Drosophila melanogaster: one gene and its partner. The protein of the gene in region 2 purifies or fractionates together with the protein of the main gene of each other region. This does not show direct contact. Each region holds a gene or a part of one and is shown on either strand. Other genes may lie near its edges. The genes, in order: dgt6 and msd1.

The links.
Region 1: the proteins of msd1 (region 2) and dgt6 purify together in Drosophila melanogaster (affinity purification with western blotting; 5 studies listed by BioGRID, with this or other methods). This does not show direct contact.

What each region holds. Positions count from the first base shown.
Region 1 is NT_033777.3:29,123,876-29,132,964, forward strand, and holds dgt6 (dim gamma-tubulin 6), read right to left. Parts: upstream 7,098-9,089; 5' UTR 7,017-7,097; coding exon 6,155-7,016; intron 6,089-6,154; coding exon 5,654-6,088; intron 5,593-5,653; coding exon 5,072-5,592; intron 5,006-5,071; coding exon 4,859-5,005; 3' UTR 4,709-4,858; downstream 1-4,708. Other genes in the region: Ctl2 (choline transporter-like 2), read left to right, coding at 1,539-1,862, 1,932-3,998; Vha100-1 (vacuolar H[+] ATPase 100kD subunit 1), read left to right, coding at 7,834-7,950, 8,251-8,427, 8,501-8,629.
Region 2 is NT_037436.4:1,327,321-1,334,370, reverse strand, and holds msd1 (mitotic spindle density 1), read right to left. Parts: upstream 2,628-7,050; 5' UTR 2,590-2,627; coding exon 2,553-2,589; intron 2,498-2,552; coding exon 2,118-2,497; 3' UTR 2,045-2,117; downstream 1-2,044. Other genes in the region: CG2211 (uncharacterized protein), read left to right, coding at 1-682, 739-954; msd5 (mitotic spindle density 5), read left to right, coding at 1,258-2,019; ND-ACP (NADH dehydrogenase (ubiquinone) acyl carrier protein), read right to left, coding at 2,912-3,091, 3,201-3,329, 3,422-3,508, 4,081-4,230; Myo61F (myosin 61F), read right to left, coding at 4,956-4,970, 5,051-5,147, 5,210-7,050. UniProt on the Drosophila melanogaster protein: As part of the augmin complex, plays a role in centrosome-independent generation of spindle microtubules.

The DNA of each region.
Region 1 (9,089 bases), on a different chromosome or scaffold from region 2:
CGTACGGGATACGGAGCTCCGACAAAGGCTTCCCGCTTTCAGTGGTCCGGTGACTTTCGCCGGAGTAGTGACTCCGTCCCAGGAAACCAGCTAAACAAAAAGCCCCCAGCCGCTCGTAAAAAAGTGTCATGAGACAATAAAGGAACTTTAAGAAAGAAAGGAAAAGCGACGAGAAGAGTGGAGCTCCTTTGTTACATCTCTGGAAGAATCGTTCGGCTCCGAAGCAAAGGTGAGTAATACTGCTTCATTACGAAATTACGGGGCCTTGTACATTTGTAGTTCCAAAAAACAACAAGGGGAAATCGTTCATATGGGAAACAAGAGACTACCATTATAAGATAAGATCAGAACTGCGACTGCTTTCTTTTATCTCAAGTGACGTAGTCCAAGGTGAACACAGTAAACACTCGATGCAAGGACAACTTAGGTTTAAACCAGTTTTCTACACTACAAATTATGCAAATGGGTTAGATATCAAAACGAACACCCGTTTTCTTATCATGTCTACAAGTTTCTTTGCAAGAAAAAAAGGTTAGCTACTGAGAGTGTTGCCCGTAGCACTGCTTGAATGATAAACTCTACTCCCAGACATTGAAATTCCTACACCAAAATGGAGTTACGGCAATCGACCTTGAAACATGTGGCCCCAAATGCCTTGCCAACCCAAATTGGTTTCCCATTTTCTATGAAAACTTGTGTGTTTTTTTGGTAATTCATCTATTAAAGGCGGCAGCCAGTTTTTCATCTCAAATGGACAGAAGCCGCACACAAAAATAAAGCGATACACATAAACAATCAAACAACAGCAACAAGTGAGCGCACAAATTTAATTTGCTTTTTAATGCGTCATTATTGCCGATTTGCGACATGCTCGAGCTGCTTTACTGCTACCTCTTCGCAGATTTTCGCATCCCCAAGAGGTTCGTACAGTTGCGATCGCTATCGTTATCAGGGGAGCTCTTAAACCGAATGAGCGATACTTTATTTATTTCTGCTCTCTATTTGCTTTCATGATTAATTAAATGAGTCTGCTGTAGGAGAATGTATTAGCAATAATTATGGATAATTCACCAGCCCATCCAAAGCCATTCTTAAAGTTCATTTATCCAGTAGAAAACTTTGTTACAGAGCTAGGTTCATTGATCATTAAAAGGTTAAACAGTCTTATTCATAAACATAGGAAGAAATATTATTTAATTGTGGTTCAATCCAAAAGGGATCGTTGGCCGCCTGTCGTTGATATAATCAAACCGCACTTTGTCGCCGACAATTTCATTTACTCATCGTACTTTCCCCAACCAAACTAACAAATAAACTAGAACAAAAAGAGCCGCTGGTGGTTGGCTTCACCGCCAACACGACCACCCACTACAGATTCGGTTTTCCATTTTTAAAACAATGACGCATGCACGGAAATAAATTACATGATATACGCCTGACAATCTCATTACCTAGAGACGACGACCCATCGATAGTGGCTCTATGTATATACATACATAAAACACTCGGTTCTTCTTGGACTCTTTCAGTAGAGAGCGATGACGGAAAGCGTGGAGCTGATGAACAAGTACGGCGAGCCACTGCGCTACGACCGGAACTTCACGGGACCGAGGCAGAGGGATCGCAGCTGCACGGATGTGCCCTGCCTGCTGTTATTCGTCCTCTTCCTGGGCGGATGGGCCTTCATAGCCCAATACGCCATCAGGAACGGCGATCTCAACAAACTGCTGGTGCCCACGGACTCCTTTAACCGAAAGTGTGGCATGGACTCCGGAGTGCTGAACAAGAAAAACCTATTCTTTTTCGACTTGAATCAGTGCATCGATCCACTTGTACCCATCACTGGATGTGACACTCCACAGGTGAGATACCATTAACATCAAATTTGCAAGGAGTTGATCTTACTTTTAATGAAATACGTATTTCAACAGGTTTGTGTGGAGACTTGTCCCCGAGAGACGTTCGTCTGGGACACTATGAAGGACAAACAAAGTTTTGCGGAGCTGCATAGTCGCCTCATCTGCTTGTCGGAGGAGCACAAGGCGCAGATTCGCACCAAATCGGACATTCAGGATGCCATTAACCAGAACCAGTGCGCACGCTGGTACATCAAGAGTGCTCCATTCCTCAAACGATGCCTCTTCGAGTTCTCGCAGGGCGTGTGTGATTATATTCCCTCGTTTCTGCTAAATGGGGGAAGGTCGAGGCGGGAGCTGCATATGTTGCCCGGAAACGCCACCACAGAAGTTCAAATGCAGGCCGATGTCATGTACCAGAAAATGACGGATGCCCAGGCTCTCGTTGTTCCACAGGCGAATGGCAAACAGACTCCAGTGGACGAGGAACCGATCATCCAGTGCAAGCGCAGACTCAACGAGGCTGTCATCAAGGAGAAGATGATGCAGACCGATACGAGGCTGGCCAAGCTCGTTGGTAACATGGTGGCCCACTTCTACAATGGCACAAACGACGCCCAGCTTTTGGGAGAAAAGATTGTCGAGGATCTTGTCAACTCCTGGTCGATCGTTTTGGTGGCTTGCTTCTGCACCCTGGTAGCCTCACTGATCTACATCGCTCTAATGCGCTGGCTCTCGGCTCCGATTCTCTGGTTCTCCATCTTCGGCGTGCTTATCGGCTTGCTGGTGGGTATTTACTTCTCCGTAAAGCAGTACATCCACTGGGAGAATACGCCTACGGTTCCCGTACACGGCTTGAATCTACACTCCACGGTCAAGAATGTCCTGCAAAACCAGAACACCTGGCTCTACCTGTCCATCTTCGTAGGCGTGTGCTTCGTGGTTATCCTGTTGCTGGTAATTGTGCTAAGAAAGCGCATCCGGATAGCGATCGCCCTAACCAAGGAGGGCAGCAAGGCGGTGAGCAGCGTGATCAGCACCGTGTTCTTTCCCATCTTCTCCTGGATACTCTTCATTGCCGCCATAGCGTTTGCCATTGGCGTGGGCCTGTATCTGGGCTCAATTGGCGATCCTTCGTTTAGAATGGTGCGACAGCTGACGAAAAGTGGCGAAGTGACCACCGAGGACTGCGTCTGCGAAGGTCCAGCCATCAACTACACAGTGGGCGGATCCTGCAAGCCAGAAGTGTTCCAGCAATATTGTAGCGTTCGGCTGACCTCATTTTTCCAGAACCGAAACCCTTGCTTGAACACCACCTGCAGCTTTGACTCGATTAACAATCCAATCGAGATTAAGTGGGCCATCTTCTACAACGTCTTTGGCTTCCTCTGGCTGAGCTTCTTCATCTCCGCCTTCAGCTACATGGTGCTGGCCTCGACCTTCGCCCGATGGTACTGGACCTTCAAAAAGAGGGATGTGCCCTACTTCACCCTTACAAGGGCATTCTTTCAAACTGCTGTCTACCATCTGGGCACCGTGGCCTTTGGTTCGCTCATCCTGGCCATCGTCCGGCTGATCCGTCTGGTGCTGGAGTACATCCACGAGAAGCTGAAGAAGTACGACAATGCGGTGACACGAGCCATCCTCTGCTGCATGCGCTGCTTCTTCTGGTTGCTGGAGACCTTCCTGAAGTTCCTCAATCGGAATGCCTACATCATGTGCGCCATTCATGGCAAGAACTTCTGCTCCAGTGCCGCGGACTCGTTTAATCTGATTATGAGGAACTTCCTGCGTGTGGTGACGCTGGATCAGGTCACGGACTTTTTGTTCTTTTTGTCGAAACTGCTGCTAACCGCAGGGGCGGGGGCGTCCACCTACTACTTCCTGGACAATAATCCGAGCATTATTCGGCTAAATTACATAGCAGTGCCCACCACGGTGGTGGTAATTGCCGCCTTTCTCATAACGAGCGTGTTTTTCGGTGTGTACTCGACGGCAGTGGACACACTGTTTCTGTGCTTCCTGGAGGACTGCGAGCGCAACGACGGCTCACCGGAGAAGCCGTTCTTCATGTCCAAGCAGCTAATGAAGATTCTTGGCAAGAAGAACAATCTGCCGCCGCGTCAGCGCCGCGGAAAGTAGGAGACAGCAGTGCAAATTATAACTTTATTGAAGTAAAACATATATATATATATTTATTATAGCCCAAAACGAAACGATCGGGGTTGTGAGCGATTGCTCAACCGGCTGCAATTGGGTTTGCATTAAATGCACGCTCCTTTGCCAATACTCTTAATCTTTAATCTAGTGTATATAATACGCCAGTATCCGTATCCATATGTAAAGTTTTTTGTGCGGCTAGACATGTGATAGGCGCGGACCATAAAGACCAAAAGTAATACCATACAATAACATGTATACAGAGACACAAAAGTACATATCTCACATTCATGAAGTTTAAGTTAACGATAATTATTATAATTTTCGAATTTAATAAAAATGAATTCATTGAAGACACACTTTTCAGTTTTGTTCTTATTTTATTTCTCCATCATTATATTCACTCATTTTTTTTTATTTTTATACAATTTGTTTCATACTTTTGCCGTTCATTCATCTAGAACGCTCAACCCACTCATTTCAGAAAGTCTGATTTTGCAAGGATGTAACAGATCGCTGAAGCCGCAATGAAGAACAATAGCTATAAGATATGACTTTTAAAAGTATATATATAATAAACCTTAATACTGCCTCAAAGGTTGTTTATTTCAATAATAATCTTAAGTCCTGAAACTCGAATTTCGAAAAGCCTGGTATACTTATAGATGTATTTAAAAGAAGAAAATTGCTTTCAAGCTGAAAGATTTTAGTTTTAATTTCATATGGGTAATATTAAAAACTAAAGTAAAAAGTATATTTCGTTTAAAAACCTCATAACCAATTAGAAAAAGAATACAAAATCTATTACCTAAACAATATTGGCCATTCGCGATTCCCGTGGACTAAAAGATAATATCCTTGAGCACGCTATCGCTGATGTTCTGCAGGTCATCCTCACCACCAATCTGATCAAAATCGAATTTATGCGAGACATTGAATGCATTCTTATCGTTTTCAATGTTGAAATCGGGATCAAGCTGCAGTGAGTCCTGTAAAAAAAAGGAACTTGAGATTCGTATATTTCGTAGGCACGTATTATTGTTGATCCCACTTACATTGATTGTTCTGTCGTTGAGCTGAAGACGTGGCGCGACATCTTGCTGGTGGCTCTCGGTATGTGGAACCAGTGCATCTAGGCGTCCAGATGGCGAGGTGCTAAGATTAAGCACATTCCGTGATACCTCCAGGACCTTTATAACCGCAGCGCTCTTGGCGATCAGTGAAGTGTTGTTTTCCGAAGTGCGCGGAATGCGCTCAATTCGGGTGCACTCGCTACCACTCAAGGGTGTAAAGGGATCGCTGGGATCCGTTGGTGAGGTCTGAGGTGAGATCACTGCTGCTCCTGGCACCGGCGCCTCATCGAAACCGAATGACGCTTGCATTTGCTTCCACTTGCTGCCCAGGGAGGAGAGATTCGCCTGCGGAGCTGCCTTGACCTTGGAGGTGTTTTTGTGAATGGTGCGCAGCATTTGCATGGGATCGTTGATCTTGGATCGGTTTAAAGTGCCATTAAGGTCAATGCCGGTCGATTGATCAAGGGCTTTCAGCTTGCGTGCTGATCGAGGCGGCGCAGGTGCTGAAAAGGAAAACTCATAAGGATGAGGGTCACTAAGCGAACGGTTTAGTTCACTCCTTACCGAGTAAGCTGTTGCTTAAGGCATCAAACTGTTTGCCATTGAAGTCATCTTGCAGTGCAAGACGCACTGGGGCATTGCGACCGCCACCGCCGCCCATGTCGATTCTGATGGGAGGCGTGGAAACAAATTTGGAGCTGATAACCGATTCGAAGCGAGGCGTGGCCGGCTGAAGCGTCTGTACCCTGGCGGAGCCACTTGCATTGGCACTTCCCTTGTCCTTTTTGGACGGTTCGTTTAGTTTCTTGAGTAAATTGTTCAATTGGACTTCGGACTGTGAAAGTTCCACTCGAAGAGCCTGCAAATCGGTGGTGACAAACGCATTCGATTCGTTGTAGTGGTCATTAGCATCCAGTTGCTCGGCAATTGTGCCGCTGATCCGATTAAAGCCGTTTAAGAGCGCATCCATTTTTGATGCGCCCAAAGGATCGTAGAAATCTGCGAAGGAATTGAAAAACCATTTAAATTTAAAGACCTGCAAGGATGCAACCAAAGATGTCTCACCTCCTTCTGTGACTGCATCACAGTCGAACAGCACTCGCATGCCCCGAAGTGCCTTCTCCACCGCCTCCTTGCTCTGGTTGTTCTCGGCTTGCTTCACCTGGAAAAGATCGATGGCCTCCTTGAGACCGCACAGAGATGCCTCCAGGTCGAATTTCCTTTCGGTGGGTTGGGTAATGACCCGCTCCACGCCGAGTGCAGCGGTGGCCTCGAACTCATCCAGAAAGCCATCGTCCGCCAGTTGCTCCTCGGGCACTCCCATGTCTGCAGACAGATCGGCCATCAGGCGTCTGATCTTCTGGGTCTTGTCCCGCAACAGGGCCGTATTCTCCTCCAGATTGACCACATACGAAGAAGCGTACTCCTTCATCACGGCATTTTGGCGGGCCATGACCTTGGCGCTCACGTTTGGTGTTCCCGCCTCTAAGCCAAGTGACTTCTCGCGCTGCTTGATGAGCTCCTGGATCACGAAGCCCACGAACTCGAGCAGGAAGTTGATGAACCTCATGCCTCCGGGCATCACCACCAGATACGACTTGATGTTGGCCCAATGCAGCTGGTGCTTCTCGTTCAGATGCTTCAGATACTCCACCGTGCTGGAGCGAAAGTTCGCCTCCGACTTCTTGTCGGTGATGGGCCAGAAGAAGCGGCGTTTGAACTCCGCGGGATCCAGCAGACGGAAGAGGTAGTGCATCACATGCACGAAGGCCACCTGGTTGGGCTTGAGGAACATGTCCCAGGCAATCAGCTTACGCAGCTCGTCCGGCAGGGGGTGCACCAGGGCCAGTCCCTGCAGCTTCCTGTGGAGCTTCTCGCTCTGCTCCTTCTCTTCGGCCTTCCACGGTGCAATTATGGTCCGATCCATATTTTAGCACAGAAATTAAGTAAAATATGGCGGTTTAGTTTGAAGTTCTTTGTTTTTGTTGCTGCCCAGTGTTACCAAGTGGTTGAATTCAACTGAATGAAGACGTTCCCACTGCCTGTTTATATTGACGAAAAATGTTATATAAAAGGGATAAATCTATTTATTTTCCCTAGGAATAGTAACTGCGAATAGCATTTGTGTTTTTTAAATGTTTTTTATAATATTTCCCAGATATTTGTTTTTAAGTACAAATTTATTTCCCTAGTTACTCGATTGGTATAAATCCAATGACCTGCCACGGTCACACTAGATTCATAGTTCGGAAATTTGTCGGTTGCTGGAGTTTGTGGACGAATTTATATTTAATTTTTAAGCACTTGGTAATTAACTAATCGACGTTCATTTCGAAGTGACCCCCTGACAAACTAAATAGTTTTCGGATAAAGCTCGAGCCCAGTCACTGGCTGACCCCCAACGAGCCGAAAACCTTGGCATCCGGGTCCAACGTAGCACTTTCTTTTTGTCCGCGGCGGAGAAAAATCAATATACGCATGGGGTATAGAAATCGAATCTCGGCGCATATATAGTATAGATTACAGACAAATAATCTGGGGGACAAGCGAACGTCCGCCCACCGAAACGATAACCAAATCAGCATGAAAATATGTATGCGACACGGCCGCAAAACTTAGGAAGAAACCCAGTTTGGCCATGAATCATGCAATTGAATGGGCCCATTGTGTACTATATATGTACATATGCATTCTGATTTAGTGTCTGTTCTCCATTCGCAGATATCGGGAATCCGGCTGCCACAATGGGTTCCCTATTCCGCAGCGAGGAAATGGCGCTGTGCCAGCTGTTCCTGCAGAGCGAGGCGGCCTACGCCTGCGTCTCCGAGTTGGGAGAACTGGGATTGGTCCAGTTCCGAGATGTGAGTAGGATGGGTTACATAAAGCTGCGGTCGAGGCAGCCGCACTGACTAACCATAAACCACAATCATACCCCTTACCTCATTAGCGAATTCGGTATTCCATGAAACGTCCCCTTTAACGCGAATGCAAAGTAAATGCAAAGCTGGTGACACCAGCTACTAAGTGTATAGTATAACTACGTGTGTTACCTCATTTAAATAAAATTGAAAAATATAGTGGCATAAGTGCTATATCTTGATCGCACAAATGAAGTATCTTTGAGATCCCCCAATAACAAACCAATCTTTTGAAATCCGCAGCTCAATCCCGATGTCAACGCTTTCCAGAGGAAGTTCGTCAACGAGGTGCGCCGCTGCGATGAGATGGAGCGCAAGCTGCGTTACCTGGAGAAGGAGATCAAGAAGGACGGCATCCCCATGTTGGACACCGGGGAGAGTCCCGAGGCCCCGCAGCCCCGCGAGATGATCGACCTGGAGGTATACGCCGCCATACTCCCTGTTTTCTGCTAAACACTGTTGAACTTATATGGCTTTCTTGTCTGCTGCTCAGGCCACCTTTGAGAAGCTGGAGAACGAGCTGAGGGAGGTGAATCAGAACGCCGAGGCCCTGAAGCGCAACTTTCTGGAGCTGACCGAGCTGAAGCATATTTTGCGCAAAACCCAAGTGTTCTTCGATGAGGTAAGCTGCGGCATGAGTAACTCCATATGGGTATCAGCTAACAAACTGCGATCGGTTACCGATTTACCATTAACAAATGCCGGCCATTGAAGCGGCCGGTAACTAACCAAATTTTCTAAGCAATAACCAATTTCCCAACCGACAACACAAGTGTGGCAGCCACGACTTCTAGTCACATAAGCAATCTATCCCAAATTACACTCTAAAATTATTTCCCCGTATCTCCCCACTCGGCACGTATATCCTCCTTCTCTGCTTCCAAAGGCAAACGAAGTGTGCTTTCTTACCCTTCAGTTTGAGTTTGTACATATATATCGTAATGTGCGTTTGATATCAGTTGATGGTTATTGTTTCTTTCGGTCGCGTTCCTGGGCAATCAGAGGAAAGCCATGGGGCAATAGGTTCTAAAATATATTTATAAAAAAAGGTCTTGGAACGCCCTCTTCCTTCTGGCTGCTTG
Region 2 (7,050 bases):
CGCTCTGCATCGTAATGTGATGCGGACTGGTCTGGTGTCCACACAGGAGCTGGAGGAGGCATTCCGCAAAACGCGCGACATGGACCACAACCCGAACCGGTTGAATCTGCTCTGGCTGCTGGGCATCGTGTTCTTCATCATGGTGGCCACCCCGGTCTTTTATGAGACCATCTCGTTCCTGCTCGGAGTGCGTTGCTTTCTGCCCAACAACTACTTGGTATGGGAGGCCACCAGGCCCATTAGTGACTGCGAGTTTTGTAAAGGGGTGAGGGCTCCCCTGATCTTGGCCAATCTCACCATGGAGGAGTTTGCACCGCACGCGTACTCCTCAATGCCCATCATTGTGAAGAGGGCGGTGGCTCACTGGCCAGCACAAAAGAACCTCAGCTTTGCCTTCATAAAAGAATTGTACGAAAGTGTCCCGGGAGCAATGGACTCAGATTGCCAGTTTCTGCACTTCAACTCTGATCTCAAGTCGCTGAAGCATGTGTTTTCCATGTCCGCGGAGCGTTCAAATCTTACTCAAGGAGTGCCCTGGTTCGTGGGCTGGAGTGTCTGCCAGCCGGCCGTCCTGGCGGAGCTCAGAAAGCTGTATCCCCGCCCGCATTTCCTGCCCTTCGATGCTGAAATGCCTCACACGGACTTCATATTAATGGGCTACGAGCAAGGGGCTGTGATGCATGTAAGTAAAAACCAAGAAATCAACGAATATTATGACTAATCTTTCAATTATTATAGCTTGATTACATTCCCCGCCTGTTGTGGCAAGCTCAGTTAAGTGGCAACAAGACCTGGTTTCTGGCACCTGCTCCTGAATGTGACCACCAGTGTCAGCCCTTCTCCTTCTATGTGGAGCCCGGAGATGCTGTGTTGGTGGACACACGCATCTGGTACCATGCCAATTCAATTCCCAAGGGTCAGTTTTCGCTCACCGTTCAGTCCGAGTATGGATGAGATGCACCTTGTAGTTCTGAGACTCAGAATTCAAACAGCCATGTTAGTCCAAACTTTCATATGGTATAAACTCCCTATTAAGATCTCGTTAAAACCACTGAAGACTTGAAATACGTGTAGTGCACTCTAAAAATTGTGCTTTTAAAAATAAAAACCCAAGTAATCCGTAAGCGATCATAATTTGTATAGAACTTTTGTTTTCAAATTTAAACCGCCACAGCTTGCGTTATCGATTTCCGATAGATGCGGCGCAGGCCATTCAAACGAAGTTATCAAAGGAGAAGTGAAGCGTAAACAATAAAAATGGAAACTAATGTAGATTTCAGCAGCATTTCATCCAAGTTGTACAGAAAGTACGCGCAACATGTGAGAAACCTAAAGGACGTGTGCGTATCCAAGACGGTGATGAAACCGGGGGCCTTCTTTGACAGCCTGCAGCAGATGATGGAGGAGGAGGCAGCAGCCACTACGCCCCCGAGGGATCTTAGCTCGGTAGCCGACTATGCGGAGCTCTTCAAGACCTTGGAAGAGTACCCGGCCAACCTGCAGAAAATGCCCAAGAAGCGGGAGCTACAACGTACCAACTCAACGCTCCTGCGAGGAGCAGACGAGTCGGTGGCCATGGGCATCAACACATCCAACGTTTCGCTGAGTCTGACGCGTCTGGAGGAGCAGCGCAGTGCCGTGGACGTGTACAATGATTTTAAGGGTTTCCAGCGAAAGCTGGCCAAGATCTACGACGAGGCAGCCGCTCTGGACACCACAGAATCCATATACAAGCAGAAGCTGACGCAGCTCCATGGATTTGCGCAGCAGCTGGAAAAGCTCATGCCAACCGGCGGTGAGTCTCCGCCAGATGCTTTTACATCCGAGCAGCAGGAGAAGCTTCTGACCATAGCCGCCAATATGGAACAGCTCAACTACCTGCGCTCCAACAGCCTCCAGCTGCCCAATCCCAATGAGATACTCGCCACCGGGAGTCTTGCCGCTCGCCTGGAGATGTTCGTAGAGGTGCTTACCTATACGCTTCTCCAAGTCAGCAGCTACAATATGGCCATGATTTGAAAACCTCGCTTAAAGAGCTTTAAATACAAATCAAATGTTTAATTTATTTAAATTATTTTTCAACTATAACATAATAATAAATTCTAAAAATGGATGAGCTAGGGGGAATCCTCGCTGGCATACTGCTCTTCCTGTGAGTTCTTCATCTGGCCCACGGTGTCGTAGAGCGCCACCAGCTTACGCACGGAGCTGCCAAGGTGCTCCACGCGATGCCTGTAGGCCAGGCAGCCCTCCAGAGCGCTGTATGTCTCCTCCCGCTGGTCACTGCTAGACATGAGCAGCTTGAAGTTCTCCAGGATCTTGGACAGGGTCATCTCAGCCTCCGGCCTGAGGTTGTACATCTTCTGGGTCTCCGACAAAGCCACATTCTGACTGAATGCCTTGCTGTTGGACTCGATGTGGAGCAATGTGTTGTTCGACCGCTCCATTATCTCGTCTATCTTAGCCAGCTGGCGGTTCATGGTCTGCCGATTGGCCGCTGAAATTGGAAGCACGGAATAGAACGCGTGTCGGTGGTTTAAAGATATATTTACCCATTCCCGCCAACATTTTGTCCACAGCGTCTGACATTTCGAATATTCTGTTTGTAATGCTAGCAGATTAACGTGACCGTCGCTGCGTATCTAAAATACACAAGGCTTTCTAAAACAATCGAAAGACCAACGTTTCTATCGAAATTTAAATTTAACCGCCAGTACTAAATGACTCGTTTATTTATTTGGATAGTTAATTTATTAGCTGCTATTCCGCAGTTAATTATAGCCCTCGTGTACAATTGCTGACTACAAGTTAATTTAACGTTTGGTTTATTCAGTTGATCAAATTGTATTTGACTTGTTTTCTATTTAAATTTAAGTGTAATCCGTTCAATGGCTTGCATTACAATTACAATTTACTCGTACACATCCTCCTTGTCGGCGACGTACTTAATAATGTCGGCAGGTTTAAGCAGCTTCTCGGCATCAGAGTCGGGGATCTCGAAACCGAACTCGTCCTCCATGGCCATGATGACCTCCACGTGGTCCAAGGAATCCAGTCCCAAGTCGTTGATGAAGTGCGACTCAACGTTGAGCTGTAAATGCGAGCCATTAGCATTGGGTATTCAAAGGTTTCATCAGCTTTGTTCAGTTCTGATTTCTGAGGCGACCATTGCACTGGCAAAGGCAATATGTGGCGTTTACCTTGCTGGGATCGATCTTGTCGTAGAGCTTGAGCACAAGCAAGACGCGCTCATTGATCAGCTTCAGCGAGAGCGGCGGTTTCGCCGAGTATCTGCGCACCAATTGCGTTTGCCAGCGACCACGGCACTCCTGGTTTTTGGCCGGCCCGAGAAAAAAAGGAAGGAAACAAAGACCGGATTAGTGGCGCCATGCAATGGGTACTTTACCTTTTCGGCGGTCACTTTGTCGTAGGCGGAGACAACCTTTAGCACGCGGAACTTGATGTCCTCGATGGTGCTCTTGGCCGAGTAGCTGCGCACACCGAACTTCTGCGAATGTTAATGTCTAGTGAATTTTCGTCTCTATATGAATAATTGCATTGGTAGTTCATCTACGACTTATGGTGCATACAACTTAGCTAATTCTTCAATGAGCAGTGTAAATATATACGCAATTTAAACGAGGGTGGTTCGATGGTGTATGATCAACTGATTAAATACCGCGAAAACTATTGCTTGGATTGGCGTGGAAACATATTTAGATATTTAACAAACTGAAATCACATGTTTTAAAACCGCTACATTTTAAGGTCACTTCTAGAGGATTTTCACTGTAGTACAATCAACCGCACACAAGTGCGAGCACCGGTGTTGCAGGTGTATGTGTGTGTGTGTGCGATAGGGAAACAATCATGTTTTATGCAAAATAATGTGATGCAATCGAATTGGGTGGTTCGACGGCCACATGGCGAGGATCTTCTGTTGCGTTCATGATTGCAAGCACTTAATTGAATGTTTTGAAACTCGTAGATCACGAAACCCCGCCGTTTGCGATGAGGTTAGGTCCTCAACTGCGATTGGGGCTCCTGCAACGGAAGGGACCGCTTTGGACGTTCGCTTACTTGGCTCAACTGGCTGGTCATCGATGGCACGGCGATCCTGTGCATCATCCTGGAGGCCTGTGATTGGATGAGAATGCCGGAGGCGACCCTCCTTGGGGCCAAAGTGGCCGCCAGTCGACTGCAGCTGCGCGCGATCTGTGTGAACGACATCTCGGTTCTCCTGCAACGGAAACGCAGCGGGTTAGTATCGCATCTCTGCAGACGGTGCACGAGTGCAGGTCTCGTATTTTGGGCGATATTTACGCTGAGTTTTCAAGATTATGTAAAAGTGCTGGAGCAAGAAAAAGACAGCAAGGTAGCAGTGTGACCGTATGCGCAATGTACTAAGCTGTTTCTCAACTTACGCAAATAAATACTAAAAATACTTAATACTTGAATAATGAGTAAGTAACTTTCCCAACTATAATTTACAGTTAAATAATTGTTAGTGGTATATTAATTCACATGAATTTCAGTAGTAACGTTAGCTGAAATCTTCTTTTGTGAGTTGGGCACGACTTTAACGAGATTTTTAAAGTCTGGAGCACCGAACTGACGTTTCAAAGCAAAGTTATCGACTGCTGCTTTTGCCAATCGAGTGGGCGGTTCTTTTTGAAAGAAACGATATAAGAGACTAGAAAAATTGCCACGTTTCCTCTTTGAAAAACCACAAGTTAGTGATAAGAACCCAATTCATATACAAATTGTAATATATTTATATGTATTTTTAAACAATATACATTTAGTTGGAACATTAGTCATATAAAATCCGAATACACAACTCTCAGGTGCTGCAGTAACAAAAATACATAGTTACACTATAAATTACACGAATATAACAAAACAAGGTCGTTTGATTTAAAGCCACTTTTCTGAAGAAAGTCATAGTAAATTCCTTATTGCGTTCCAATCTGAAAAGAAATATTTGGTGTGTGAGGTCAGCACGATAATGGGCGTTTCCTCATGAGGAGCTGGAGCTCGCACTACTTACGATAACTAGATGGCCCTTATCACGAACCACTCCGGGCTCGGCGCCGGTTTGGATGTCGATGACGCCGCCCTTGCCCTTGACTACGTTGTGCTCCAACCTGGAAACGAATGCAACACTTAGTCAAGAGAAAACCACTGGGATAACCGATGTGCAACTTACGAATTTCTGTCCACAATGGAGACGATGGAGGCAGTTCCCACGGTGTCAATGATATACGTGCTGAACTCGATTATGCGCGGAATGATCAGAATCAAGTCGCCCTTGTCCTTTTTCAGGTCGAGCGGTATGCGGATGACCATCAGGTCGTCGTTGTGGTTCGTCAGCGTGAAGTCGATCTTGTCTAGCGGCAGGCGGTGCTTCTGCTTGTAGGTCTTGCCGTCGAGGACATATATAGCCTTGTTGCTCAGCAGGATAAAGCGGTCGCGGGACTTGTAGCCGTGCCGATCGAACTTGGTGCAGAAGGACTGGTACTTAAGCTGCTCGCTGCCGAAGGTGCTGGCCACGAAGTCGTTGACTCGCTGGATGTGCTCCTTGGGGATGCGGTCCTCCTGGAACCAAGTGGACACACTGCTCGCGTAGTTGTTCTTCTTGCCCTTAAAGACCTTCTCCGCCAGGACCTTCAGCTCGAATTGCCTCTTCTGCTGCGGCGTCAGTTTAAGGCGGTAGATCCTGGCCAAGTGGAGACGGTGCAGGCGGTGAAGGATGCCGGAGGCCTCCTCGCAGTGCCCAGGGGCATGGGGCCAGCTCTTATCCAGTACCTTGGTGGGCAGCTCCTTCGCCAGTCGAAGCAGCCACATACGCTTGGCGTTGGCAATAAACTCTTCATTGAAGCCATTCGGGGCATCGTTCCGGGTGATGAAGCCCTTGATAAAGGCACGAATCTTATCGGCGGCCTCCCTGCGCTTCTTGGCCGCCTGCTGTGCCAACTTTCGGCGACAATAGCTCTGCATTATGATCACCTGAGCACGCAGTTTCAGATACTTCCTCCTTTGCATCAATCCCTTCCAGTGGGCCTGGATGATGGCCGCTATCTCATGTTTCTTCTCCTGGTAGGCATCCTCCGTATCGAACAAGGTTCTCGGCCAGCGGATGAATAGTTTCGTCTCGCCCACCCTGTACTTTTCCTCGTCCCAGCCCAAATCTTTCACCAGCTGCTGGACACCCGCTTTCGGGCCACCGGGACCCTTGTAATTGGGCCAGGTGGACTTGCTCAGGGACTTGTAGCGCTCCAGGAAGAGCTCATACGTTCGTCGGTAGGCGAAACCAGCTCGCCTCACACGCAGATTCTCCATCAGGCCAAGGTACTTGACCTGGTGCAGTACCAACTCATCGTTGAAGACGTTGGCAGTCTGCAGGTCGTTTGGCTTGATGCAGCGAATGTAGCTCGGCTCCTTGCACATCAGAATGTCCATGAGGTTGTTAAGAGATGCCCGGAACTGGGTGATAGCCGTCTCCGGACGCTTCAGGCTGCGCAGCTCCTTCTCCGGGAAGCAGTTCCTCACAATGCCGTTGCCAGCCTTGCTGAGGGTCTCCTTTAGATCCCTGAACAACAGGTCGTTGTTCTTGTCCAGGAATCCATTGACACTGTAGGTGACCTCGCCGGCATAGTGCACCAAGCGGAACTCATCGCGCAGCATGATTTTCTTGATGTGGGCGGGCGCCTTTTCGTGGCAAACGTAGTGGTGGTGCTGGGCCAATTTCTGGGTGAGCTTCTCAAGGAAGGTCTTATCCGTGGGCTCTCCTGGTCGCAAGCACTCCTCGTCCAGTATGGAGATGATGCCCTTGTGCTTCTCCTCGATCAGATTGCAAATCACCTTGTTGTCGAAGTACTCCACAGGTATCCACTCGATGCCCTCCCGGCGGTATTCATCCTGCTCCGACTTAAGGGTAAGCTCGATGAACAGCTGCTGCAGCTTCTCGTTGCAGAAATTGATGCAGAACTGCTCAAAGCTGTTCTTCTGGAAGATCTCGAAGCCATAGATGTCCAGAATGCCCATCAC